Linked DNA regions of Macaca fascicularis. The protein of the gene in region 1 interacts with the protein of each later gene in a pairwise test. Links are inferred from orthologs where the notes say so. Each region holds a gene or a part of one and is shown in the gene's direction. Other genes may lie near its edges.

Region 1 (2,690 bases):
GTACAGCCACCCTCGCCTCATCCCAGCCTCTCGGGTGGTAGAAGCTCCCACCCTTCCTGGCTAGTTAAGCCTTGGAGTTCTCAAGCCCCCTCAAGAGGTGGTTCCCTGAACTCCATTCAGTGCCCCCTCCCCGCTTGCCCTCAGTGGCTTCCTTTCTAGTCTGATGTGTCTATGCATCTGTCACTCCTCCAGAAAGCTGGGCTGGAGAACTCGCTGGCTGAGACAGAGTGCCGCTATGCCACGCAGCTGCAGCAGATCCAGGGGCTCATCGGTGGCCTGGAGGCCCAGCTGAGTGAGCTCCGATGCGAGATGGAGGCTCAGAACCAGGAGTACAAGATGCTGCTTGACATAAAGACGCGGCTGGAGCAGGAGATTGCCACCTACCGCAGCCTGCTGGAGGGCCAGGATGCCAAGTAGGCGCCTGGGCACCGGGGCAGGAGTGATGAGGGCTGCTTGTGGCTGCGGAGCATGGTCATCCTAAGGGAATGGCAGGATGTCCCTAAGCAGCCTTGAGGGGCTGTGAAAAGAGAACTGAGCAAGGAGGGAGGATCTGGACTCTGCACTCTGGTCCTTGGCTGTTACCTGGGGCAGGTCACTTCCTCTCTCTGGATCCATGTTTCTTCTGTAAATGATAGAGGCTGGGCTAGTGGTAGTGAAGATCTAGTGCTCATTCCATTCTCTGCATGAAATAGATGGGTATTCTTGTAGTTCACAATTTGGACAGGGCTCGGTGGCTCACACCTGTAATCCCAGCACTTTTGGGGGTCCGAGGTGGGTGGATCACTTGAGGTCAGGAGTTAGAGACCAGCATAGCCAATATGGTGAAACCCAATCTCTACTAAAAATACAAAAATTAGCCAGGCGTGGTGGCGGGTGCCTGTAATCCCAGCTACTGGGGAGGCTGAGGCACAAGAATCACTTGAACACGGGAGGCAGAGGTTTTAGTGAGCCGAGATCGTGCCATTGCACTCCAGCCTGGGCAACAGAGCAAGACTCCGTCTCAAAAACAAAACAAAACAAAACAAAAAACCCCCGAAAAACAAAAAAAACAAAACAAAACAAAAAAAAGATTCTGTCTACTTGGGGGTAGCAGGCCTGGATGCGTTAGCAGGATGTCCCACCTCTAGAGGGGTCAGGTGTGTGGGTGGCGGTGGTGTAGGGTCTGAAGAGGACTGCATAGCATCTACATGAGCTTCCCTTAGAGACACCTGAGCTTGTGCCCTTTGCTTAAATCAGCTTCTTTCTTTCTTTCAGGATGGCTGACATTGGCATCAGGGAAGGTAGGAAGGGCCTCACTCCTCTGGTATGGGGTGGGGAGGGGAGATGTTGAAGCCACCACTCCCTTCGGAATAGGGAGGAAGGAAAAAGAGCCCAAACATCCCATTAGGTGGGAACATTCCCGTTCCATTAGATGCCTCTTCCCCGGTGGGACCTCCTGTCAGCCCCAGGTGAGATTGGGGCTGGTGATTTATTGAGAAACTTCCGGGTTGAGTAGGCTTCGTTCAGGGCCTGTCTCTCCCCAGGCCCCATCTTCATACACTTCCAATAAGATGCCCACAATTCATCCCCCTTCACGTGCAGCTTGAAAAGCCCTGACATTGTTGTCCCTGCTGGGCATACCTGCCATTGCCACTGCCTGTCTCTGTGATGAGCAATTCAACACCAGATCTCTGGCAGCTCTTGAGGGATTGGCCAGTGGCCATTCTCAGGGCTGCTGTCTAGTTTTCCCAGAGCCTCGCCAAGGTCCTGGCCACCTTGGGAGAGAGGGGAGGTTCCCCCACTCTAAAGCCTGCTCCTTCTCTCTCTAGCCTCTTCTGGAGGTGGTGGTAGCAGCAGCAATTTCCGCATCAACGTAGAGGAGTCAGTGGATGGAAAGGTGGTTTCTTCCCGCAAGAGAGAAATCTAAGTGCCCATTGCAGGAGAAACATCCCTTGCCACTCCCCACTCTCATCAGGCCAAGTGGAGGACTGGCCAGGGGGCCTGAACGTGCAAACTCCAGTCCCCGCCTTCAGAGAGCTGAAAAGGGTCCCTCGGTCTTTTATTTCAGGGCTTTGCATGCGCTCTGTTCCCCCTCTACCTCTCCCCGCCTTCTTTAGAGCAAGGAGGTGCAGAAGCAGCTGCGTTGTGTAACAAGCTCATTTGTATGGTGTCTGTTCATGCAATAAAGAATTACTTTTCCTTTTGCAAATATCTCTTGGTAGTATATCCATTTTTTGTTGATGGGGTCCTGGTTGGCCTCTGACCTCTGAGGAGACCCAGGGTCCACGTGGTGACATCTCCCCCTACTTTGGTCTCTTCCCTGCATGGCCACAATTCTTCTGGGTACCCAGGGCACTGGTGGCTGGGGCAAACATAGTGCTACTCAGGTGATTTGCTCTTCTGGGTCACCATGGGGTGACCAGGGAAGTGAAGGTGGGAAGGTTCCCTAAGAACAGTTTGGTGTACCCAGCACAGAACTCGACACATCTTATAATTATGAATATTTACCAAGTGACTGATTGCATTGATTGCCTTGGTTCACCACCCCATGACTGGCATGATGCCACACACACTCACCCAGGGGGCTTATTTAATCCTCACCATTGTAGGTGGTCGGGATTTATTATTTCCACCTTAGAGATGAGGTCACTGGAGGCAGAGAGAAAAATGACTTGCCCCGGGCCTTGTGGATGGATGATAAGCAGCAGGGC
Region 2 (3,477 bases), on another chromosome or scaffold:
ATCTCAATAGTGTCCCCTTTATAAAAATGAAACAATTCTGGATTCCAAAGCAGGTTTCCCTGCCTCCCATGCCCACCACCCCAGGGGTTTGGGCCACTGAAGTTTGGGCACACCTGCCTGGTGGAAATACTGGGAGGGGAGTATCATGCATGGGTGCTGAGCCGGGCCAGGCTCCTGGTAGGACTTCTGTGGCTTCTGGGATCATTAATGCTTCACCCCATCCTTCCAACTAACCCTTGGTAGTCTCTGACCCCTGCCTCCCACCAGGAGCTGACTGGCCAGCTGCCCCCTGAGTGCCCACTAGAGCCTGGTGAACGGCCCCAGTTGGTCCGCCGGCGGCCCCCCACAGCCCGTGCCTACCCTCCACCACACCCCAACCAAGCACACCACTCCTTGTGCCCTGCTGAGGTGAGCAGATGGGTGTGGAGAGCAAGAGGGTGGGGAGAGGGGACAGGTACAGAGGAGTAGCCAGGAGGAAGGTGTGGGGAGGGGGGCTTGTGGCCAGGTGAGGGAGCTTGTGGCCAGGTGAGGGAAAGGCTAAGCTGAGAAGGAAAAGGGCTTCTGGAGGTAGGTTCCTGCAATGAGGGAGGATGCTGGTCCCTAACTGTCAGGACAGGCCTCCCACCCTCAGGAAGATGAATCGACCCAGCCCTTCACCCTGACCCGCCCCCTCCCCCAGGTGAATAAGCTCCACCTGTAGGTGAATAGGCCTGAATAGGCTGCAGGAAGTACAGGCCAGCCTCTAGTGGGTTTGGCCCCACCAGGTCCCTGTTCCTGGCCATTTCCAACATTTGGGTGGGCCTGACAGGAGCTGGCTCTTGAGGCCCTGGAGCGTGAGGTGTCAGTGCAGCAGCAGATCGCGGCAGCTGCCCGTCGCCTGGCCCTGGCCCCTGATCTGAGCACCGAGCAGCGCCGGCGCCGTCGCCAGGTCCAGGCAGACGCACTGAGGAGGCTGCACGAGCTAGAGGAGCAGCTCGGGGATGTCCGGGCCCGCCTTGGCCTCCCAGTGCTCCCGCTGCCCCAGCCACTGCCACTGTCCACGGGGTCAGTGATCACCGCCCAGGGAGTCTGCCTGGGCATGCGCCTCACTCAGCTCAGCCAAGGTGAGCATCCCCTGGAGAGGGTGGGAGAGTGGACACTGGCAAATGAACGTGGTAGGGCTGGGATGGCTGAGTGGCCAGTGAAAACCGGGAGGTAGGCACAGCTCAAGTGGCCCAACCCGTGAGAAGAGTTGTGACAAACTGGCTTACCGGAAAGGACAAACTGTGGGAGACTGATGAATATCTGCCCGGACAGTCAGGAACCAAGCTGGGGTGGTCTTGGGCTCTGGTAAAAGCAGATTCTTGGGAAGGGAACAGGATGAGGCGGAAACTGGCCAGAAGGTGGCCCAAGTAGAGGTGCCCACCCAGTGGTGTAAGGGGGCGGCACCCAGGCCTGGGAGTGAGAGGCACACTTCTCCCCCTCTCACCTATAGAGGACGTAGTTCTGCACTCAGAGAGCAGCTCCCTCTCAGAGTCTGGGGCCAGCCATGACAACGGTGAGGACTCCTGTCCCCCAAACCTGCCCCCGACTCCTATGTCCCCTCAGCCCATCCCCTTTATTCATCCGACCACATCCTGCATGATCAGCCCATCCTTTGATGCCCAGCCCCTCCTGTGCTGCTTCAGCTTCTCCTTAGCTATGCTCCATCTTCCTGTAGGTCCCCCATCTTCTTAGCCTCACCCCACCCCAACCCCCAGCCCCACAGCCCCAGAACCTACTCGTCAGCCTTAGCTCCTCCTCAGTCTGCTTAACCTGTCCCAGCACTTTGCCCCTCCCCATGGCCTTGCCCACGAGCCTGTCCTGCCCCCTCTGGGCCCCCCTCATTGAATTCTATCCCACTTGCTCTCTTCCACTCAGAGGAGCCCCATGGCTGTTTCTCTCTGGCCGAGCGCCCCTCACCACCCAAGGCTTGGGACCAGCTGCGGACAGTATCCGGGGGGAGCCCTGAGCGGCGAACCCCATGGAAACCACCCCCATCAGATCTTTACGGGGATCTGAAGAGCCGACGGAACTCTGTGGCCAGCCCCACCAGGTGAGAATGAGCCCCTCCTCCCCTCCGCAGGAGCTGGGAATGGGATAGTAAGCCTGGGCTGGCAGAGGGTCTGCTGGTGGGTACAGTCTCTAACCTAGGCCTGCCTGTCACTGTCTAGCCCCACACGCTCGCTGCCCAGGAGTGCCTCCAGTTTTGAGGGGCGAAGTGTGCCTGCCACCCCAGTCCTCACCCGGGGCGCTGGCCCCCAGCTCTGCAAGTAAGGGGAATCTGAGGGTGGCCTGGAGGATCAGAGGGGAGGGAACCATTAGTTCTCACTGGAAGCTTGAGGACGGCATTATCAAAAGGTGTGGGATCGCTGGGCGCGGTGGCTCATGCTTGTAATCCCAGCACTTTGGGAGGCCGAGGTGGGCGGGTTACTTGAGGTCAGGGGTTCAAGACCAGCCTGACCAACATGGTGAAACCCCATCTCTACTAAAAATACAAAAATTAGCTGGGTATGGTGGGGCATACCTGTAATCTCAGCTACTTGGGAGGCTGAGGCAGGAGAATCGCTTGAACCTGGGAGGCAGAGGTTGCAGTGAGCTGAGATCAAGATTGTGCCATTGCACTCCAGCCTGGGCGACAAGAGCAAAACTCCATCTCAAAACAAAAAAACAAAAGATGTGGGACATGGGAGGCTGGGAGTTAAAAGTGAGCAGGCATCTCGGTGGATAATGGGGTAGAGATTTGGGGCAGAAGCATCAAAGTTTTGAGTATGGGCTTTTCTGTGCATTTTGGACAAGCCATTCTCCTTTTCTGAATCAGTCTCCTCATTTGTGAAATGGAAATAATAGTATCTGCCTTTGAAAAACATGGACATAATAAGTTCTGGTTAACATATACTGAGTGTCTGCCACCTGCTAGGAATTAGTGGCACCAACTCATTCAATCATAATGAGATCCCTGTGAGGTGGGTGCTATTGTTATTCCCATTTTATAGATGAGGCAAATGAGGCACAGAAAGGTTAAGTAACTTGTTAGTAAACTGAAGTCCTGGAGTTTGAGCCCAGGCAAGTTTTACTCTAGAGTCCATGCTTTTAACCATTGTCCTCTTCTGCTTCTGCTTCTTAAACAGAGTGCCTACTTTCCCCAGGCTCTGAACAAAACCAAGTCCCCGGCTTGCATTCTGTGAATGGTGGCTGTTGGGATGGTAGCTTTGGGTGGTTCATACATATGGTTGGATAGAGAATTCAGGCAGGGTTTTACGTGTGGGCCCTAAGGCCTAGGACTCAATCCTGGAGGCCGTGGGAGCCGTGAGAAGGGCCTTAGCATGGGGAGGGGTCAGCTGGATTAGGAAGAGCCCCCTGCCCGGCACCTACTCTGCTAGCCTTTCCTCTGAGTCCCTACACAGATTTACACCTCTCTTGGAGCTAACAGTGCCAGGCCTCCCCCACGCATTTCTA
Region 3 (2,888 bases), on another chromosome or scaffold:
TCCCGCCCCAGCCTCCAAAGTAGCTAGGACTACAGGAGTGCGCCACCACACTCAGCTAACTTTATTATTATTTTTTGTAGAGGCAGGTCTCAAATTCTTGGCCTCAAGTGGTCCTTCCACCTCAGCCTCCTAAAGCACTGGGATTATAGGCATGACTCACTGCACTTGGTAGAAAATTAATTTTCATTATAAAAATCAGAAAGGAAGAACTTGTTGTTTGATGGCCAATACCCTGAATTTCATTCCAACTTCTGGTTTTCTACATTATATGTAGGTACTAGTGATTTTGTGCCATTTTTATTTCTTCAGATTTTTCCTCTTCTACAATTCTCCCATATGTGTTATTATTTGAAGCCCTGATCACAGCTCTGAATCATTCTGTTCTTTTTTCTCCTCCAACTCTGATTCAAAACTTCTGTAACTCGTTCACTGCAAAGTCTAGAATCTCTCTTGCAAGTGAGCTGACCGGGTGGGCCAAATCGCCTTGAAAGGGAAGGATTGTTACAAAGTCAATATGTTGCTAAGACGTCTTGCTAATTTGCTGTGTAAGTTGCATAGACTGTCAGGGGATTCTCCTTTCCACTGATGAATTTAGGTGTGTGTTATGACCTGTATCAGTGATTCTATTTGGATTGATTAACGTTGCAATTTTTTATCCATATGAATGTTGCACCTAGTTTTTCCCTGTAATTGGTTAAACAAATGTCTGCTGTTTGCATTTCAACTCTCAGCCAATAACTGCTGGAAGTGATTTAATGCAGCTGGAGAATGACACTAACAATCATTATAGCCTGCAAAGTGTGAAACAATTTCATTGTGCTTTGTGGTCTCTTTAGTCTGAGGACTGATAATGTGCAGCGGATGTGACTTGAAAAAAAGTATTTCATTATAGTTAAACAAATAATGTAAAAGAGGGGTGAGTTCTGGGGCAGCTCCATGCTGTTTATCTGGCATGAGCTTGTTTTTATAAGAATTCACTTCAAGTGTGGAAGGGAAATGCTTTCATCTGAAAGGGATTGCTGTGCTTCATTCCGGTTTCTCCCTCCATCTGATAAAAACTCTTGCTGAGTGACAGCACAGATGTAGCTCATTTGAAACAAATGAAGGAAAAGGAGAAAAGGGATAGGGGTGGAGCCAAGGAGTAGTCAGTCATGTTTCCAAAGTCCCGCGGTTTCCCCTGGTCTTTTCATTCACCCCAGCGGCCCTGGTGTCCCCCTGCGAAGTGCGATGCCCTCGCCCCTGGCCCTACGCCCCTACCTCCCCGGCGAGTTTTCCCCGTCGGTGGACGCCCGGCCCTGCAGCAGTCCCTCAGAGCTCCCTGCGAAGCTGCTTCTGGGGGCCACTCCTCCTCGGGCCCCGCGGCTGCCGCGCCGGCTGGCTTGGTGCTCCATTGACTGGGAGCAGGTGTGCTTGCTGCAGAGGCTGGGAGCCGGAGGGTTTGGCTCGGTGTACAAGGCGACTTACCACGGTGTTCCTGTGGCCATAAAGCAAGTGAACAAGTGCACTAAGAACCGACTAGCATCTCGGCGGAGTTTCTGGGCTGAGCTCAACGTAGCAAGGCTGCGCCACGATAACATCGTGCGCGTGGTGGCTGCCAGCACGCGCACGCCCGCGGGGTCCAACAGCCTAGGGACCATCATCATGGAGTTCGGTGGCAACGTCACTTTACACCAAGTCATCTACGGCGCCGCCGGCCACCCTGAGGGGGACGCGGGGGAGCCTCACTGCAGCACTGGAGGACCGTTAACCTTGGGAAAGTGTCTCAAGTACTCCCTAGATGTTGTGAACGGCCTGCTCTTCCTCCACTCGCAAAGCATTGTGCACTTGGACCTGAAGCCCGCGAACATCTTGATCAGTGAGCAGGATGTCTGTAAAATTAGTGACTTCGGTTGCTCTGAGAAGTTGGAAGATCTGCTGTGCTTCCAGACACCCCTTTACCCCCTTGGAGGCACATACACCCACCGCGCCCCGGAACTCCTGAAAGGAGAGGGAGTGACGCCCAAAGCCGACATTTATTCCTTTGCCATCACTCTCTGGCAAATGACTACCAAGCAGGCGCCCTATTCGGGGGAGCGGCAGCACATACTGTACGCAGTGGTGGCCTACGACCTGCGCCCGTCCCTCTCCGCTGCCGTCTTCCAGGACTCGCTCCCCGGGCAGCGCCTTGGGGACGTCATCCGGCGCTGCTGGAGACCCAGCGCGGCGCAGAGGCCGAGCGCGCGGCTGCTTTTGGTGGATCTCACCTCTTTGAAAGCTGAATTCGGCTGACTGAAAACCTGCGTCAAGATAAGCTTGTGTCTGTTTCTGTTTGTTTTTAAAGGAAGTGGAGATGTCGAAGAAAACATATTTGTGGGATGGAGTTTTAGAAAATAAAGTTACTAAAAACTCCTTTAGTCTCCAATGCTTTTTCTACGACACATAGCAAAGCCACAAATCTAGTACCTGTTGTCTCAGTACTGTTAGTAACTAATCTTATTCAGATAAGATTAGTGCTTGTGCTTTGCCCTCCATTGATAGTATTTCATTTATTCAAATTTGTTACTGATAAAACACTTTGTCCAAAACAGAACTCCACTGCAGAAATGTCAAAATTTTCTATAAATCCATATATATCCCATACCTACCACATAAATTCCAACTATTAACAGTGTACTTGCTCCCACACCAAATCAGTAAAAACTTTTTAAAAAATAAGTAATGCTTTCCTACTACTCCCCCCAGTAAAACTTCTTGTTTGTAATGACCTTCACACATAAAAGTCATACACTGAGGTACATTTACAGTCAAAGGAATTATAACTGACTTATTGTAATATTTTTAACTTGTGCAATGCAATGAGTAGAGACATTTTACTAAAACACTTCTAAACTGGGTCATTTTTACCTGGT
Region 4 (4,005 bases), on another chromosome or scaffold:
TTGGCCAGGATGGTCCGATCTCCTGACCTCGTGATCCACCCGCCTCTGCCCTCCAAAGTGTTGGGATTACAGGCGTGAGCCACCGCGCCCGGCTTTTTTTTTTTTTTTTTTTTTTTGAAACAGAATCTTTGTCGCCCAGGCAGGCTGGAGTGCAATGGCGCGACCACGGCTCACTACAACCTCGATCTCCCGGGCTTAAGAGATCCTCCCACTTCAGCTTCCCGAGTAACTGGGACCACAGGCGCATGCCAACATGCCCAGCCTTTTTTATTTTAGTAGTATTATTATTATTGTAGCGACGAGGTCCCACTGTATTAAAATAATATAGTGATCTCGAACTCCTGGGCTCAAGCGATCCTCCGCCCTCGGCCTCCGATAGTGCTGGGATTACAGGCTACCGCACCCAGTCTCTTTTTTTACAAAGAATGTAAATAGCCGGTGGATGTTAGATTGGCAGCTGTTTGCAAAGATGTCAGACTATTTCATTACGGAAAGATGCTCTCAAAAGACAAAATAGGTAAATCGAAAGAACGTGTCCATTTTTTCTCAGTGGCCTAATCAGGTATCATGCTTGGTTTTGAGGACACAGAAAGACAGCGCCCTCATGGAGTTCAAAGTCTGGTGGAGGAAACCAATCATAATAATAATGAGGGGTTAACGACAACAGAGCCTTGAAAGATAACATCTCCAGGGAATAAGGAAGAGCATTCCAAGGTATTTTGCCAAATGGCAAAAACCGCGGTTACTTTTGCACCAACCTTAATACAAATAAAAGCATGTACACAAACAAGATACTCGAGGAAGAATACGGCTGACACACAGAAACGGATCGTTATCTTGGGGCTTTCCTGCAGCCTCGTTTCTTTCAGTCACGTAACACCCCAAAATCTGTGGACGGTGAATGAGAGCTAGTATCACCCGGAGTCACGGCTGTTGCCTCGTAAGACTTTAGATGCAGCCCGCCACCGGGAGAAACTGGAGGGAATCCGCAATACACAGGAACCAAGAAGGGCTACGTGACAGAGGGTCCCCCGCAGCTCTCAGCCGCCGGCACTCCCAGCCCTGGGTTTCCCGCCAATCTCAGTTACTAGATCTTCCCAGGCTCCGCCCGCCGCCGAGCGGTCGGAGAGTTTTAAGGAAGGGGAAGTGTTGCAAGCCTATCGATATCTCTGGAATAGACTGCGCTACCCTGCGCCGCCGCCATCAGACTCCCGCAGACTTCTCTGTAGATCGCTGAGCGATACTTTCGGCAGCACCTCCTTGATTCTCAGTTTTGCTGGAGGCCGCAACCAGGCCCGCGCCGCCAACATGGTACGTTGAATCCCGACCTCTGGAAGGTTTAGGGCAGAGCTCCGGTGACTGGGGGATGACGAGCCACCTCTCCTGTCATCCTTAGCGCCGCCCGGGGCCACGAGGTATGGGAGCCTCGGCAGACGGCCGGGCTCCGGCAGTGATTCAGCATCTCCGGCCTGGCCGGGCTAGGGGCTGTCGGTAGCCAGTGCGGCCTTTCCACCGCTTTCGCTTCCCGGGGAGCCTCCGACACTTACTCCTCTGTCAGCTAGATGAGTTCGCCCCTCAGGTTCCTTCAGTGGAGTAGATTCTGAGCGGTCCAGAATAGCCCCTAGTGCTGTGTATGGGAGAGGAGAAGACAGAGACTTGGAGGCCTACCTGTACCACCAGTGCGGACTTGACCCCCAGGTTTGTGTTCCTGGACCGCGTCCATTTTCCTGGTGGGTCCGTCTGATTTATCTCTCCCCTAGACTTCGGTTAGAAGAGGCCCTTTTCAATAATTTTGTCCAGTCACCTATTTACAGATGAGTAAGCCGAGGCTGAGAGGGGAAGTGATGGAATCTGGGTTACAACATAGGGTTCTGGGTTTCCAGTGCTGTGCTCGCACTCAATCTCACTCCCGTGATTAGTCTCCCCAGCACTGCTAGACTTGTTATAATAGTCATAATAGCCGTAATGGTTCTATCGCTGCAGCTGTTTGTGTCCACCTCTAACTTTCTGAGGACATTTTTGTTCATTCAATATGAATATACAGACAGAGCATTTGTACAAGCATAACTACAGTGAACGTTCAAAAGTCATACATGTCCCTAATCATAAAAGCAGAAAGGGACGTTTAGATAAAGAACTGTGGGAGTATGTGTTAGGGGGATTTGGGAAGAAAAGCTAATCATAAAAACAGAAAGGGACGTTTAGATAAAGAACTGTGGGAGTATGTGTTAGGGGGATTTGGGAAGAAAAGGAGAAGACTTCCAGAAATCGACATTTAAGCTAACTTAAAGAAGAGAAAGGCTTTTAACCATTTATTAGGTCCCAATAAAAGGGAGCAGCATAAGCAAAAATAGGCAAGAAAGTTGATTGTGAACTTTAGTAATTGAGCCTAAAGGGATTGCTATGGATGGTTTTAGAATAAGAGGTTGGAAAAATAGGACCCATTTAGATCTGCTTCTCCCTCTCCCACCAGTTTATGGTAAATGTAGAATTGGCTTACGTCTGAGTACAGTAGTAATCTTCCAGTAAGATTGCATGAACAGAGTGCCTTAACATTGAATGGAAACACAAGCATATTTCTTAATGAATGTTAGAGTTGGGATTTGAAATGTTCTTCTATTAACAGGTCTTTTTTTCTTTTACTTTTAGTTTCGAAATCAGTACGACAATGATGTCACTGTTTGGAGCCCGCAGGTAAAATAATGTTTTTTAAACTATTTCTGTGAAATGGCTTTTTGTGGCTGCAATATATTTAGAAGCTTGTGAGAGCATAGGCTTGGGGAAAATGGAATATAATATTTTAGTCGTTCTTGGAAGTTGCATTTATAATTAAAATAGGTCTCCTAATGGACCTAGAGGACATTATGTTAAGTGAAATAAGCCAGAAACAGAAAGAAAAATATTTCATGCTCTCACTTATATGTGGAATGTTTTGTTTAAAAGAGCAAATATATATATAGAGAGAATAAAACAGTGGTTACCAGGGTAGGGAATAGCAGTGGGGAGGAAAAAAGAGGAGATACTAAGTATCAAATATGTAGGTTGAGCAAGTGGAAGGATCTAAGGTACAACATGAAGACTACAGCTAATAATGCAGGTAGTGTTTTGTATTCAGGATTTTTGCTAAGTGAGTAGTTGATAGCTCTTGCCACAGCAGAGGAAAATGGGTAAGTATGTGAGACAATGGATGTGTTCATTCTGCGATAGTGACCCTACTATATATGTGTATCTTACAACATCATGTTGCATACCTTAAGTATATACAACAAAATTTATTTTAAAAGAAGCTTTTGGCTAGGCGCAGTGGCTTATGCCTGTAATCCCAGCACTTTGGGAGGCCGAGGAAGATAGATTGCTTGAGTCTTGGAGTTCAAGACCACCCTGAACAACATGAAACCTGGTCTCTACAAGAAATACAAAAATAAGCTGGGCGTGGTGGTGCCTGCCTATAGTCCCAGCTACTGGGGACGGTGATTTGAGAGGATTGCCTGAGCCCAGGAGGCAGAGGTTGTACTGAGCTGAAGATTGTGCCACTGCACTCCAGCCTGGGTGACAGAGTGAGAACCTGTCTCAAAAAAAAAGTTTCTTGATTTAAAAAAAAATCAGTTGAGATTTAACTATGCCCACCTGACATTTGAAAACTCTAATTTTTAAGTTATAAAAGGCCTTCTAAGATGTGGTTTTGTTTTTTTTTTCTTTAGGGCAGGATTCATCAAATTGAATATGCAATGGAAGCTGTTAAACAAGGTTCAGCCACAGTTGGTCTGAAATCAAAAACTCATGCAGTGTTGGTTGCATTGAAAGTAAGTAAAGTAATAAATATGTCTTCCTCTGTAAAAAACTATTAATGTAAATTTCACCATAGACAGTGAGGTTGTAAACTTATTTTTACATTTTTTTTTTTAACATCTTATAATGTCTCCATTTAGAGGGCACAATCAGAGCTTGCAGCTCATCAGAAAAAAATTCTCCATGTTGACAACCATATTGGTATCTCAATTGCGG
Region 5 (4,292 bases), on another chromosome or scaffold:
TGGGAAGAGGCACAGGATAGAAGGAGGGGCCTTGTAGGCCTTGGCTGCAACTTTGCTCTTTATTCTGAGGTGAAACTACTGGAGGATTTTGAGCAGGGGCGTGAAGGGATCTAACTGTTTTTGTTTGTTTGTTTGTTTGTTTTTGTTTTTTTTTTTTAGAGATGGAGTCTCGCTTGGTAACCAAGGCTGGAGGAGTGCGCTGGCGCTATCTCGGCTCACTGCCACCTCCGCCTCCCGGGTTCAAGCGATTCTCCTGCCTTAGCCTCCTGAGTAGCTGGAACTACAGGCACCTGCCACCACTCCCCGCTAATATTTTGTATTTTTAGTAGAGACAGGGTTTCACCCTGTTAGCCAGGATGATCTCGATCTCCTGACTCGTGATCCGCCCTCCTTGGCCACCCAAAGTGCTAGGATTACAGGCGTGAGCCACCGCGCCCGGCCCTAATTTTTGTTTTAAAGGATTCCTGTGGCTACTCTATGGAGAATATACTATAGGAAGAAAAGAGTGAAAGCTAAGTGATTAGTTGCAGCAGTCTGGGTGAGAAAGGCTGGGGATCAGGGTGGCAGTGGTAGAAATGACAAGTCATGACTGAATTGGCAATATATTTGAAAGCAGAGCCAACAATTCCTGTCGGCTCTAGGATCAGGGATCCGTTTAAAGTAGAAAAACAAAATTATTTAAAAACACAAACATCTTAACAGTTCATTTTTAAGTACAGAATAAAACCCAGTGGCCAAAGGCACTAACAGCAGGACAAGAAATAGAGAATCAAAGATATGTGGGATGCCTGCAATTGATTATTGGATGCTCATTTTGCAAAACTTCTTTATATCCTGCTACTTAGGTTTGTTTTTTTTTGTTTGTTTGTTTTAAGGGAGTATGCCGTATTATTCCCCTACTAAAGAAGTCACTGTTTAAATACTGCCTTTTTCATGAAAGGCAGGAACCCCTGAAGGTCTTCATGATCCTAAAAGGAAGTGTGAGTCCCACAGTGCAGCCAGCAGTGTCAATACTTCTCTGAGTGAGATTTAAACAAGAAAGAAAATGTGTTAATAAAACATCACGCCAAGAGAATCTAGTGGCCACAGACCCACGAAGGAACAACTGAGTTGTGAGAGTTGCCTAGGTAGAAGGGTGGCTAATCCTTTCAGTTTGAACAAATTTGCCTTCTCTGAGACCAAACTCAGCGCTCGCCAGGTCCTCTGCTAACGCAGGCCCCACAACCAGGAGCTAGGGGAGCCTACCCCAGCCTTTAACTGCCCGCCTAGAGACCTACCACAAGCCGGTGGTTCAGCGACCCAGTGCATCCTTTTCCTGGCCACGCCCTCTTTGTCTAAACCCTTCCCATCCCGGCCACGCCCCCACGCAGCCGCGGCCCCCAGTCTGGCCACGCCCCTCCCGCGCCGCGCCGGCGCACCATCCGTCCGAATGGCCTCGTGGGCGGAGCTTGCGTAGCCTCCCGGACCCCGGCGCGCACCGCCCCCCGCCCCCAGCCCCTGGCCATCGAGCGTCTCCGTGGACACGCACTTCCTGCGAGGCCTCCGTGCGCACCTTGGCCGAGCCGAACCGAGCCGAGCCCTGTCCTTCCAGGCTGTTCGCAATGGTGGATGAGCTGGTGCTGCTGCTGCACGCGCTCCTGATGCGGCACCGCGCCCTGACCATCGAGAACAGCCAGCTCATGGAACAGCTGCGGCTGCTGGTGTGCGAGAGGGCCAGCCTGCTGCGCCAGGTACGTCCGCCGAGCTGCCCGGTGCCCTTCCCCGAAACGTTTAATGGCGAGAGCTCCCGGCTCCCCGAGTTTATCGTGCAGACAGCGTCTTACATGCTCGTGAACGAGAACCGATTCTGCAACGACGCCATGAAGGTGGCATTCCTAATCAGTCTCCTCACCGGGGAAGCCGAGGAGTGGGTGGTGCCCTACATCGAGATGGATAGCCCCATCCTAGGTGATTACCGAGCCTTCCTCGATGAGATGAAACAGTGCTTTGGCTGGGATGACGACGAAGACGACGACGACGAGGACGAAGAGGATAATTACTAGGCCCTCGGGCCTCGGGGGGAGGGCCCTGCACGCCGTCACCCCCTCCCCGCAGCCCTCACCCCGCCAGGAGCCACTGCTCTCCCCCTTGCCCTCCGGTCCCCTTCCCTACCCGCGCCCGTCTGCTCTTTCTTCATTTCTCCGTAGTGCTTGTCTTTGTTCCAGGAATAGTGCTCCAGTTACCTGCTGCTGGGGTTGGGGCTGGAGCCTCACTCACTCGGAAGTGCTTGGAAGTGTCATCTACCCTGGCCATCCCGGGGATCCCTCCCCTGCTAATCTGAACTGTGTCCTGAACCCCAGCTATTGGCCAGGCCCCTGTTACAAACTGCGCAGACCACCCATAGCCCTGCTGCTGCCACCTGCCCTGCTGCCAGGCTTACATCTGCCCAGAGAACTATGCTGCCACTTCACATCCACTCACCACATCCCACCTACAGACTACCGCCTTTCGAGATCAGGACCAACCTGGAAAATGCCAGAGTTGGCTCTGCCTCTTCGGACATTGATTTGGACAGCTCACCAACCCCTGAAGAGGCCAATCATTCAGCCTGGTTAGTTTTCTACCTACTCCGAGTGTCCTCCCCTGCCATACCAGATTGCTGCAGGGGCGCGGTGTGCCTGACAGCCAAATTGTTGATATTTCTTTTTTCCTATGCACTGGTTTTACACAGCTGTCATTTTTCTTTCAAAATTGCAGCAGTCCCACAGATGTATGCATTTGGACAAATAGTACTAAAAACAAAACAAACAAGCACTCAGCCCAGCTCCTCAATACTACCTGGAAAAAGCATTGGCATTATTTTCAATAAATATCAAGCACTAAAAAACGAAATGACTGTCTTTTAATAGTTAAGTGCTATCACTGACCTCTAGAACTGTCACTGTGACTACCGTTATTCCCATGGAAATCAGGGAATACAACCAATCCTAGGAATCCCTGCTGTCAACTCCAGGCTGCTGGGGACAGCTACCTCAGGGCTTTGTCAGGGTTCTGATGCTTCCTTCACCAACGCATTTCTTAAAGCCCTGGCAAAGGGTGTGTTCTCTGGGTCCTCCAGGGTGGCATGGGTAAGGGTTGGCTGAGCAGATGGCAAAGAGGGCAGTATTAATAATTAGACCATAACAACAGGCATAAACCAGGACATATATATGTATTGCTCCTAATTCTCTGAGCTTTTGGATTCCTTAATATTGTGCCAGGGAAGTTCTGCCCCTTAATCCTTATTGCCTATATGCAGCTGTTGAGTTCAGGCTCCAGAGAGCCAACATAGTACATTGTCACTTTCAAACTCCAAATAGCCAACATGTCACTTACAGGTGCTCTAGCTAACATTAAGTCCCAGATCCTGGGCAAGTGCATCCATAAAGATATACCCTGATCTTAACAAACATTTCATCCTCCTTGGGCAGACATCCTTAGAATTTCCACTCATAGATGTGTCCCAGATTCCTCCCTATGGAAATTAGCAAGATGCTTGGTTATCTCTTAAATCAGACTTTGTACTGCTATCTGGGGGCTATGCTGAGATCTCTGGGCCTGGAGGGTTCAGAGCAGTGAAGGGGGTGGCTGCTGAGAAGAAACTGCATACCTGTGTGAGGCCATTGCCCCAGGTTAAGTCATTGAAATGTTTAATGCAGAGCAGCTTGGTTGGGGATTTGACAGGACTACCTCTTAGAAAGGTTTAGGAGGATGTGAGGGGTTCAGAGTTCTCATTTATATCTGTCCAGATGTCCTCCCTCATTGTACCATGTCTGGAGCCAACTTCACTTTATAACCTTTAATTAATTTAGATAACACATTTCCTTACTGTTTAAGGCCTTTTGAGGCAAGATATTTCATTTGTACTGGTAAACCTCAGTGTTGATTAAATGAGATATGGGGCTTCATATTAATCACCTGATAGGTGTGGATTATATGAGATCATACCCATGCAGCATTTAGAACTTTCCCTGCTACATGGTGAGCACTCAGTAAACCATGGGCTGTTACTCCTGGGCCTGGGGACAGAATTCTCAGGAAGCAAGTCTCTGGCTCTGAGCGTGGCTTTAGTAGGAAAATGTCAGCGTAAAGAGGAGCAGAGCAGGTTCAGCGATAATGGAAATGAGAGCATGATAAGACCCCATTTACTTTTTGAAGTCTTATATGAAGCAAGAAACAAAGCTGTTTACGTGGTGAACAGGCAAAGTTCAGGGTAGGAATTATATCTCACACCTAGGATAGCTGTTTCTGGAGGGTGGGGACAGGGGTGAGTA
Region 6 (3,500 bases), on another chromosome or scaffold:
TCCTCAAAATAGCTGCCCCATGTATTCCATCCCAGTTTTATAGCTGTATTAAATGGGAAGATTGGGGTTGCACGTACTTAGTTCATCTTGTCCAGAACTTAACATTGTAAATATCTTCTTCTCATCTCTCTGTTAACTCTGTCTTTGGTGTCTGTAGTTGAAGAGAAATCCTTAATTTTAATGTAATGATATCCATTAAATGTTTGCCTTGTGTTTTCTTTTTGGGAATTTGCCTCAATAATTTTTCACCCTAAATTCTGAGAGTATCCTACATTTAAAAAAATTTAGAGTTTAACCTTCCACATTTGAGTCTTTTGTTGTCATCATGGAGTTTACCTTTATATCAAGTATGTGGTATGAACCCAGATTTATTTTTCTCTAAATAGTGGGTCCATATTTTTAATATTGCCTATAAAAATGTGATATTCCTCAATGATTATCAAAGAATTTAAATTACACTAAGTTTCCATATATATGTGATCTATTTCTAGACCCTCTCTTATGTATCATTGGTCAGTTGGTCTGTTCTTATACCCACCCATTCCACATTTTTTAGTGTTAGGGCTTTGTAGTGTATCTTAATATCTAGTAGAATGAATCTCTAATCTTGATTCTTCTTTTCAGAGTTTTCTGGGTCTTTATGGATCTTTATTCTTCCATAAAAACTTTAGAATCAATTTGTCAGAATGCTAGAATTATGGTTGGAATTGCATTAGATGCAAAGACTCATTTGCGAGAATTGAATTTTAATATTAAATCATTTCATCCATGAATGTGGTTTGTCTCTTTAATCCTTGTGGTCTTTTATGTCCTTTAAAATAATTTTTAAATATTCCCTTTTAAAATCTTGAGCATTCTTGCTTGAGTCAATTCCTAGATGGTTTTAGTATTTGTTAGTAAATACTGTGACTGATAACATGTCTAATTTTTTTAGTTATTACTGGTAGGAAATAATGTCGTAAGTACTCTTGTATCTAAAAACCCTGGTGATTTTTCAAAATTGGGATGGGAGATTGCCTAGGTTATGTAATATAAAACATGACCACCTAATTTTGTCCTTTCAGCATGGCATGGCATTGGAAAGTTTCTTTAAAAGGTGATGTGCGCAGGTAGATGTGCTAAAATATGTCTTGCACAATCGTCTTATCCTCTTTCTTATAACATGTTAATATAAGCCAGTGACATAGAATGATTAATTATGATAGAGACAATTATGGGATTAATTCTGATTGGGATGCTTTAATAAAATAGTGAGGTTTTAACCTACCCTGTAAGGTTAAGACTTCCTAAGGCAGAATAGTGGATTTCAGTCAGGTAAAATAGCAAGTCAAACATCCAGAGGCATAAAAATGTATCCTGCTGCATCATTAATATCACTCCTTTTCCTCTGCACTCTGATGACTCCCTCCAAGTATTCTGTAACAGTTAATGTTGAAATGTACTGTACTTTCTGTCAATAGTTACATACAGGGCTACTTGTCTATTAAGACACCCCCTAGATATCATCTTATACATCTTAACTTCTTCCATTCAGACCTGGTTGTTGGCTGTATTCCATATTACTTCAAATTCCTTAATTTCCTCTCTCTCCGCCTCCCTCCCCCCAACCCCTACATGCTGGAGTGTGATCACGGCTCAAGTCATCCTCCCACCTCAGCCTCCTAAGGAGCTGGGACTACAGGCATATAGCACTCCACCTGGTTAATTTTTTATTTTTTGTAGAGACAAGGTCTTGCTATGTTGCCCAAGCTTGTCTCAAAATCCTGGTCTCAAGCACTCCTCTTGCCTTGGCCTCCCAAAGTGCTAGGATTACAGGAGTGAGCCACTGTGCCCAGCTGTGTGTGTGTGCGCACGCGTGTGTGTGTGTGTGTGTGATGGAGTCTCACTCTTTTTTTTTTGTTTTTTGTTTCTGTGACATGGAGTCTCACTCTGTTGCCCAGGCTGGAGTGCAGTAGCACGATCTCGGCCCCGTCCTCTGGGTTTAAGTGATTCTCCTGCATCAGCCTTCCAAGTAGCTGGGATTACAGGTGCGCGCCACCACGCCCAGCTACTTCTTTGTATTCTTAGTAGAGACGGGGTTTCACTATGTTGGCCAGGCTGGTCTTGAACTCCTGACCTTAAGTAATTTGCCCGCCTTGACCTCCCAAAGTGCTGGGATTACAGGTGTGAGCCACCATGCCCAGCTTATTTTTTTCTATGTATTGCCTCATTGCTAAATTTCCTAGAGCTGTAAAGATATCTTTGCATGATTCTTTTAAAAAATTTTTAGGTATGTAAAAAGGGAAGAAATATAAGCATAGATTTGTAGGGAAAGAGTTTATATTTTGAGGGATGCATCTCCGGCTTATCCCAAGATTAGAATTTCCATACAGGTGTAACTGATAAATAGTTGTGGTATTTGATTAACACCCCCCCAATTTTTTCTTAAACAGATCATATCTGAAGATATTAGTGAGCTACAAAAGAATCAAACTACATCTGTAGCCAAAATTGCGCAATACAAGAGGAAACTCATGGATCTTTCCCATAGAACTTTACAGGTAGTAATTTGGATTTTTTTCCCCCAGTGTTTATAAGGCTGTGTATGTGAAATAATGTACTAAATATGGATTTTTTAAATAGAAAAAAAAGACTAAAATAATAATGTGAAACTAGAAGTACTGAATTCTTTCAGTAGAACTTTGAAATTGGAAAACAGGTCTCATAGGGTTGAGTGAGGAGAATAAAAATATCCTAAAGTTCATATTTTAGTGAGAATTTGAGGGAAAGCAGTGAAGAAATAAAGTATCTTAGTGCAAGGGAAGCTTCTGTGAGATTATCGATGTCTCATAAATTTCATAAAATAGTTCAGAAAATTTTTTATTTTGAGTGCTAGAAAAAGGAGTGTAACCATAATGGTCGAAAAACAACAATAGAATTTACAAATTAACAAGAGGAATTAAAAGAATAATAACAACTGAAATTATAAACTATCATGAAAAGAGAAATATTACATACCAGTACCAATGGGAAACAGCTGTGAGATTATCGATGTCTCATAAATTTCATAAAATAGTTCAGAAAATTTTTTATTTTGAGTGCTAGAAAAAGGAGTGTAACCATAATGGTCGAAAAACAACAATAGAATTTACAAATTAACAAGAGGAATTAAAAGAATAATAACAACTGAAATTATAAACTATCATGGAAAGAGAAATATTACATACCAGTACCAATGGGAAACAGCCAAATCTGTACTCAGAGGAAAATTTACAGTCATAAAAAATCTCATTTTAAAAGATCAAATGTGAAAAATAAAGGAACTGAGTACTCAAATTAGAAAAGGAATATCAAGATAAGCCAAAAGAAACTAAAAAGAAAGAAAGATAAATGTGAAATTAGTGAAAAACTAAAAAATGTAATAGTGGAAAGAATAAATTGTAAAACTGTTTCTTCGAAAAGACCATTAAAATTACTAAGCATCTCATCAACTAGAAGAAGGGAAAAGCAGAGCAAAAGAC
Region 7 (3,500 bases), on another chromosome or scaffold:
CCCAGCCACCAGCCAGCTTTTATATGCCTCCCTGAGATTGGGAGGAAACATGGTTGCCCTAATCCATAGTGCTTAACCTCACTTTGGACTTCTGTGTAAACAACTCTTGGTGTTTACAAACCAAATAGCTATTTCTCCACTCCCAAACCTACCCTTGTGACAGAGTTAGCATGGCTGAACCCCCGGTTTGCCCAGTTCTGTTCTAATTTACACCAATTTTCCCAGTATAATTATTGATAGCACCCCCTTTGCCAGTTCGGAGGATTATTTGTTTGGTCTCTATGCCCTTGGCCATAGGATTCAGGGCAGGGGTATGGGGACCTGTGCTGTACCCCCATTTCGGTAGAGGAAGGATGGGGAAATGTATGCTGTGTATGGCCGAACACGCACATGTAAGAGTGACAGTCCTTGTGTGGAGGCGAAGACCAGTGGCTGCCGCACCCCAACCTCCACCCTTGACCACGGTCTCCACTCCTTGCTCTGCAGAGACAGGCAGGCACCCCAGGTGGTGGCAGTGGCAGTGGCAGTGGCGGGTCCCCAGAGCTCAGCGCCCTTCGGCTGTCAGAACAACTGCGCGAGAAGGAGGAGCAGATCCTGGCGCTGGAGGCCGACATGACCAAGTGGGAACAGAAGTATTTGGAGGAACGTGCCATGAGGCAGTTTGCCATGGATGCGGCTGCCACGGCTGCTGCCCAGCGTGACACCACTCTCATCCGACACTCCCCGCAGCCCTCGCCCAGCAGCAGCTTCAATGAGGGTCTGCTCACTGGTGGCCACAGGCACCAGGAGATGGAAAGCAGGTTCGGCATTGCAGGCCAGGCACCTGAGGTTTGGGAGGCGGGTGGCAATGTCCAGTCACTGCCCTGCCCTTGATCCCTGATAAACAAGCCGCTTTCCCCACACAGCTCAGCAGTCCCTCAAGCAAGCTGAACCTGCATGCTTGGCACACCAGGCGCTGTAAACTTGCATTTGCCTAGAAATACCGAGTCCTTGGTCTACCCAGGAGACTCTTACTGTGGAGGTGTTGGGTGCCGTTTAGGGCTTAGGCCCTGCCTCCTCTCTCCGGAGTGCTGCCCTCCAGGATGAGGGCTGTGCCTCCACTATCATCTGATGACTCTGGAACCCACCCTTGATGGCCTGCCTTTCCTGGTGTGGGAAGGGCCCAGGGCCTTATGCACTGGTGGTTTTCAGAGCCTGGGCTCTAAGGGCATCACATGCCAGAGCTGTGGTACCATTTCTAAGCCCCCTCTAGGTCCCTGCTACAAGCACAGAAAGATCCAGCCTGGCCGGGTTAGGGGAGGGGGGGTGCTTTTCCTCTAACTCCTATGAGGCGGGAAGGGTGGCTGGATCTATGGGTCTGACAGTGTGGGCATGGCCTCTCACCCCTCAGGTTAAAGGTGCTCCATGCCCAGATCCTGGAGAAGGATGCAGTGATCAAGGTCCTTCAGCAGCGCTCCAGGAGAGACCCTGGCAAGGCCACCCAGGGCTCCCTACGGCCTGCCAAGTCGGTGCCATCTGTCTTCGTGGCTGCGGCAGCAGGAACCCAGGGCTGGCAAGGGCTCTCTTCTAGTGAGCGACAAGCAGCGGACGCCCCTGCTCGGCTGACTACAGGTAAGAGGAGGCTGCTGCTGGGATAGATTGAGAGGTAGTTTCTCCTGGGCCTGAACACAGATTGCCAGACCTTTCCTCCCAGAACTGAGGCTCATGGGAGCCAGGGCTTCCTGATTGTCTCCCAGGGGAGCTGGCTTATTCTCTACCTCCAGTGACTCTACAGCCCATGGCTCTCCTGCCAGTGTGAAGAGGGGTATTTCGTCCCCATCGCCGTAAATTCCATCATGCTTTAGCCCCAGCCACTGAACTGAGAAAAATAGAGCTTCCTGTGCAGATGCACCTTCTATGCAAGCCCCCTCCACTCTTCCTTCTAAGCAGATGCCACAGAAACTCTAGAAGATTTAATCTACAAAGAAGGGTCCCACCACCCAAAACATTTGGAAGCCAATCCAATCTGGTAGTCATTCCCATTTTAAAATAGGAGCATTTTTAGTCTTAAAGTTCTTGCAGATCAAGAGCAGCCCACTCCACCTTGAATCCCCAGCAAGGACAGTTAACTTACAGTGTCCTTCACCAGGGCCACATCTTACAGGTGTGGCAATAACCATCCACCTACCTTCCCAGCAGACAGGGCACCCACAGAGGAGCCAGTGGTCACACCTCCCCCTGCTGCCCATGCCAAACACGGGAGCAGAGATGGGAGCACCCAGACTGACGGCCCCCCAGACAGCACCTCCACCTGCCTGCCACCGGAGCCTGACAGCCTTCTGGGGTGCAGCAGTAGCCAGAGAGCAGCCTCTCTGGGTAAGTCCTTCTGACCCCACTTCTGTGCTAGGCAGGGCCAGGGGAGCACTGGGGTGTGAACTGGAACACCAAAGCCTTTTCTTCCCAGCCCCCTCGGGGTCATTGCCTGTACTCCATGGGGAGCCCTGCATAGCCAGAGGTGAGCAGCGTGCCTGGCCCACCTCACTGTGAACATGAAGGGTGGCTGGCTGCATGAATAGGGAAATTGGAAACCCTGATTAGAGGCAGATCCAGAATTCAGAAAGAAAGCAACCAGATGGGAGGCACTTAAGCTCCTCTTTCATGGTCTTCCCTACATAGTTAATTTCCAATTTGATTATCCAAGAGAATGGAGCTTGCAAGTCATGCCGATGGCACTCTGGAAGCCTGTTGAGAGTCCGGGAAAGAGAAATCTGAGAAGATGCCATTTCTTTTTCCACTCCCCTTTCACACTGGCCTTTGCATATTTGCCTGTGCCTCCTGATCTCAGAAAACCACAGGCATGAAAAGAATGCTGCAGCCTCCCTCCCTCAGGCTCTCCATTGCTCTGTCTAAGCCCTCCAACCAGTTCAAAGTTAGAAACAAATGCATCTTACACATCGGAGGTTGGTGGGCTGGGCTGAGCACTGAGAGGGTGCAGAGCATTGTGCTTGGTTGGCCAAGTTCTGGGAACCTGGGCAGCAGAGGTGGGAAAAGTTGGTGAAGAAAGATCGTTGTATTTAAAATGTGCCAGGATTTTAAAAGCAATCTAGTAACACTCATTGGCATGTGCCTGTGTTCTTGTCTCTCTCCAGACTCTGTAGCTACATCCAGAGTCCAGGACTTGTCAGACATGGTGGAGATACTGATCTGAAGGAGGTGGTGCTTCAGGACTCTGAGCCATTCTCTCCCCTCCTCTGCCCTGTGCCACTCTCAGCCATTTCAGCAGCCTGTCAGCCGCTGCTTTGTCCCTTTCCCCAGCCAGACTCTCATTCCCATTGACCATCTGGCCCCAGGAGCTCAGGAGGAGGACCCCAGGGGAGAGGAGAACTGTGAGAGCACCAGCACCCCCAGAAGACTCTGCTTCTTAGCCCACATTCCTCCCGGCCTTATGGAGAATGAGGATTCAGCCTTGACTTGTTGCCCAAGGCCTGCTACTGGGGTAGCAACTGACAGCTCAGAAAGGT

Evidence for each region.
Region 2: the proteins of KRT15 (region 1) and CCDC120 interact in a two-hybrid assay, tested with the Homo sapiens proteins (2 studies listed by BioGRID and IntAct). The link is inferred for Macaca fascicularis from reciprocal best matches to the Homo sapiens genes KRT15 and CCDC120.
Region 3: the proteins of KRT15 (region 1) and MOS interact in a two-hybrid assay, tested with the Homo sapiens proteins (2 studies listed by BioGRID and IntAct). The two-hybrid records come from large-scale screens. The link is inferred for Macaca fascicularis from reciprocal best matches to the Homo sapiens genes KRT15 and MOS.
Region 4: the proteins of KRT15 (region 1) and PSMA1 interact in binary tests that used the Homo sapiens proteins (3 or more experiments, as listed by UniProt). The two-hybrid records come from large-scale screens. The link is inferred for Macaca fascicularis from reciprocal best matches to the Homo sapiens genes KRT15 and PSMA1.
Region 5: the proteins of KRT15 (region 1) and LDOC1 interact in a two-hybrid assay, tested with the Homo sapiens proteins (2 studies listed by BioGRID and IntAct). The two-hybrid records come from large-scale screens. The link is inferred for Macaca fascicularis from reciprocal best matches to the Homo sapiens genes KRT15 and LDOC1.
Region 6: the proteins of KRT15 (region 1) and NUP54 interact in binary tests that used the Homo sapiens proteins (3 or more experiments, as listed by UniProt). The two-hybrid records come from large-scale screens. The link is inferred for Macaca fascicularis from reciprocal best matches to the Homo sapiens genes KRT15 and NUP54.
Region 7: the proteins of KRT15 (region 1) and AMOTL2 interact in binary tests that used the Homo sapiens proteins (3 or more experiments, as listed by UniProt). The two-hybrid records come from large-scale screens. The link is inferred for Macaca fascicularis from reciprocal best matches to the Homo sapiens genes KRT15 and AMOTL2.

What each region holds. Positions count from the first base shown.
Region 1 is NC_088390.1:62,554,406-62,557,095, reverse strand, and holds the end of KRT15 (keratin, type I cytoskeletal 15), read left to right. Parts: intron 1-192; coding exon 193-413; intron 414-1,254; coding exon 1,255-1,280; intron 1,281-1,808; coding exon 1,809-1,906; 3' UTR 1,907-2,190; downstream 2,191-2,690.
Region 2 is NC_088395.1:49,224,088-49,227,564, forward strand, and holds part of CCDC120 (coiled-coil domain-containing protein 120), read left to right. Parts: intron 1-267; coding exon 268-408; intron 409-808; coding exon 809-1,103; intron 1,104-1,474; coding exon 1,475-1,537; intron 1,538-1,899; coding exon 1,900-2,074; intron 2,075-2,192; coding exon 2,193-2,291; intron 2,292-3,477. UniProt on the Homo sapiens protein: Centriolar protein required for centriole subdistal appendage assembly and microtubule anchoring in interphase cells. Together with CCDC68, cooperate with subdistal appendage components ODF2, NIN and CEP170 for hierarchical subdistal appendage assembly.
Region 3 is NC_088382.1:66,085,278-66,088,165, reverse strand, and holds MOS (proto-oncogene serine/threonine-protein kinase mos), read left to right. Parts: upstream 1-1,143; 5' UTR 1,144-1,227; coding exon 1,228-2,268; 3' UTR 2,269-2,388; downstream 2,389-2,888.
Region 4 is NC_088388.1:51,236,940-51,240,944, forward strand, and holds the start of PSMA1 (proteasome subunit alpha type-1), read left to right. Parts: upstream 1-1,205; 5' UTR 1,206-1,308; coding exon 1,309-1,311; exon of another isoform or gene 1,312-1,698; intron 1,699-2,649; coding exon 2,650-2,694; intron 2,695-3,701; coding exon 3,702-3,803; intron 3,804-3,929; coding exon 3,930-4,005. UniProt on the Homo sapiens protein: Component of the 20S core proteasome complex involved in the proteolytic degradation of most intracellular proteins. This complex plays numerous essential roles within the cell by associating with different regulatory particles.
Region 5 is NC_088395.1:147,494,884-147,499,175, forward strand, and holds the start of LDOC1 (protein LDOC1), read left to right. Parts: upstream 1-1,492; 5' UTR 1,493-1,601; coding exon 1,602-2,042; 3' UTR 2,043-4,292. UniProt on the Homo sapiens protein: May have an important role in the development and/or progression of some cancers.
Region 6 is NC_088379.1:57,757,215-57,760,714, forward strand, and holds part of NUP54 (nucleoporin p54), read left to right. Parts: intron 1-2,432; coding exon 2,433-2,540; intron 2,541-3,500. UniProt on the Homo sapiens protein: Component of the nuclear pore complex, a complex required for the trafficking across the nuclear membrane.
Region 7 is NC_088376.1:37,267,084-37,270,583, reverse strand, and holds part of AMOTL2 (angiomotin-like protein 2), read left to right. Parts: intron 1-486; coding exon 487-800; intron 801-1,390; coding exon 1,391-1,611; intron 1,612-2,175; coding exon 2,176-2,355; intron 2,356-3,128; coding exon 3,129-3,187; 3' UTR 3,188-3,500. UniProt on the Homo sapiens protein: Regulates the translocation of phosphorylated SRC to peripheral cell-matrix adhesion sites. Required for proper architecture of actin filaments.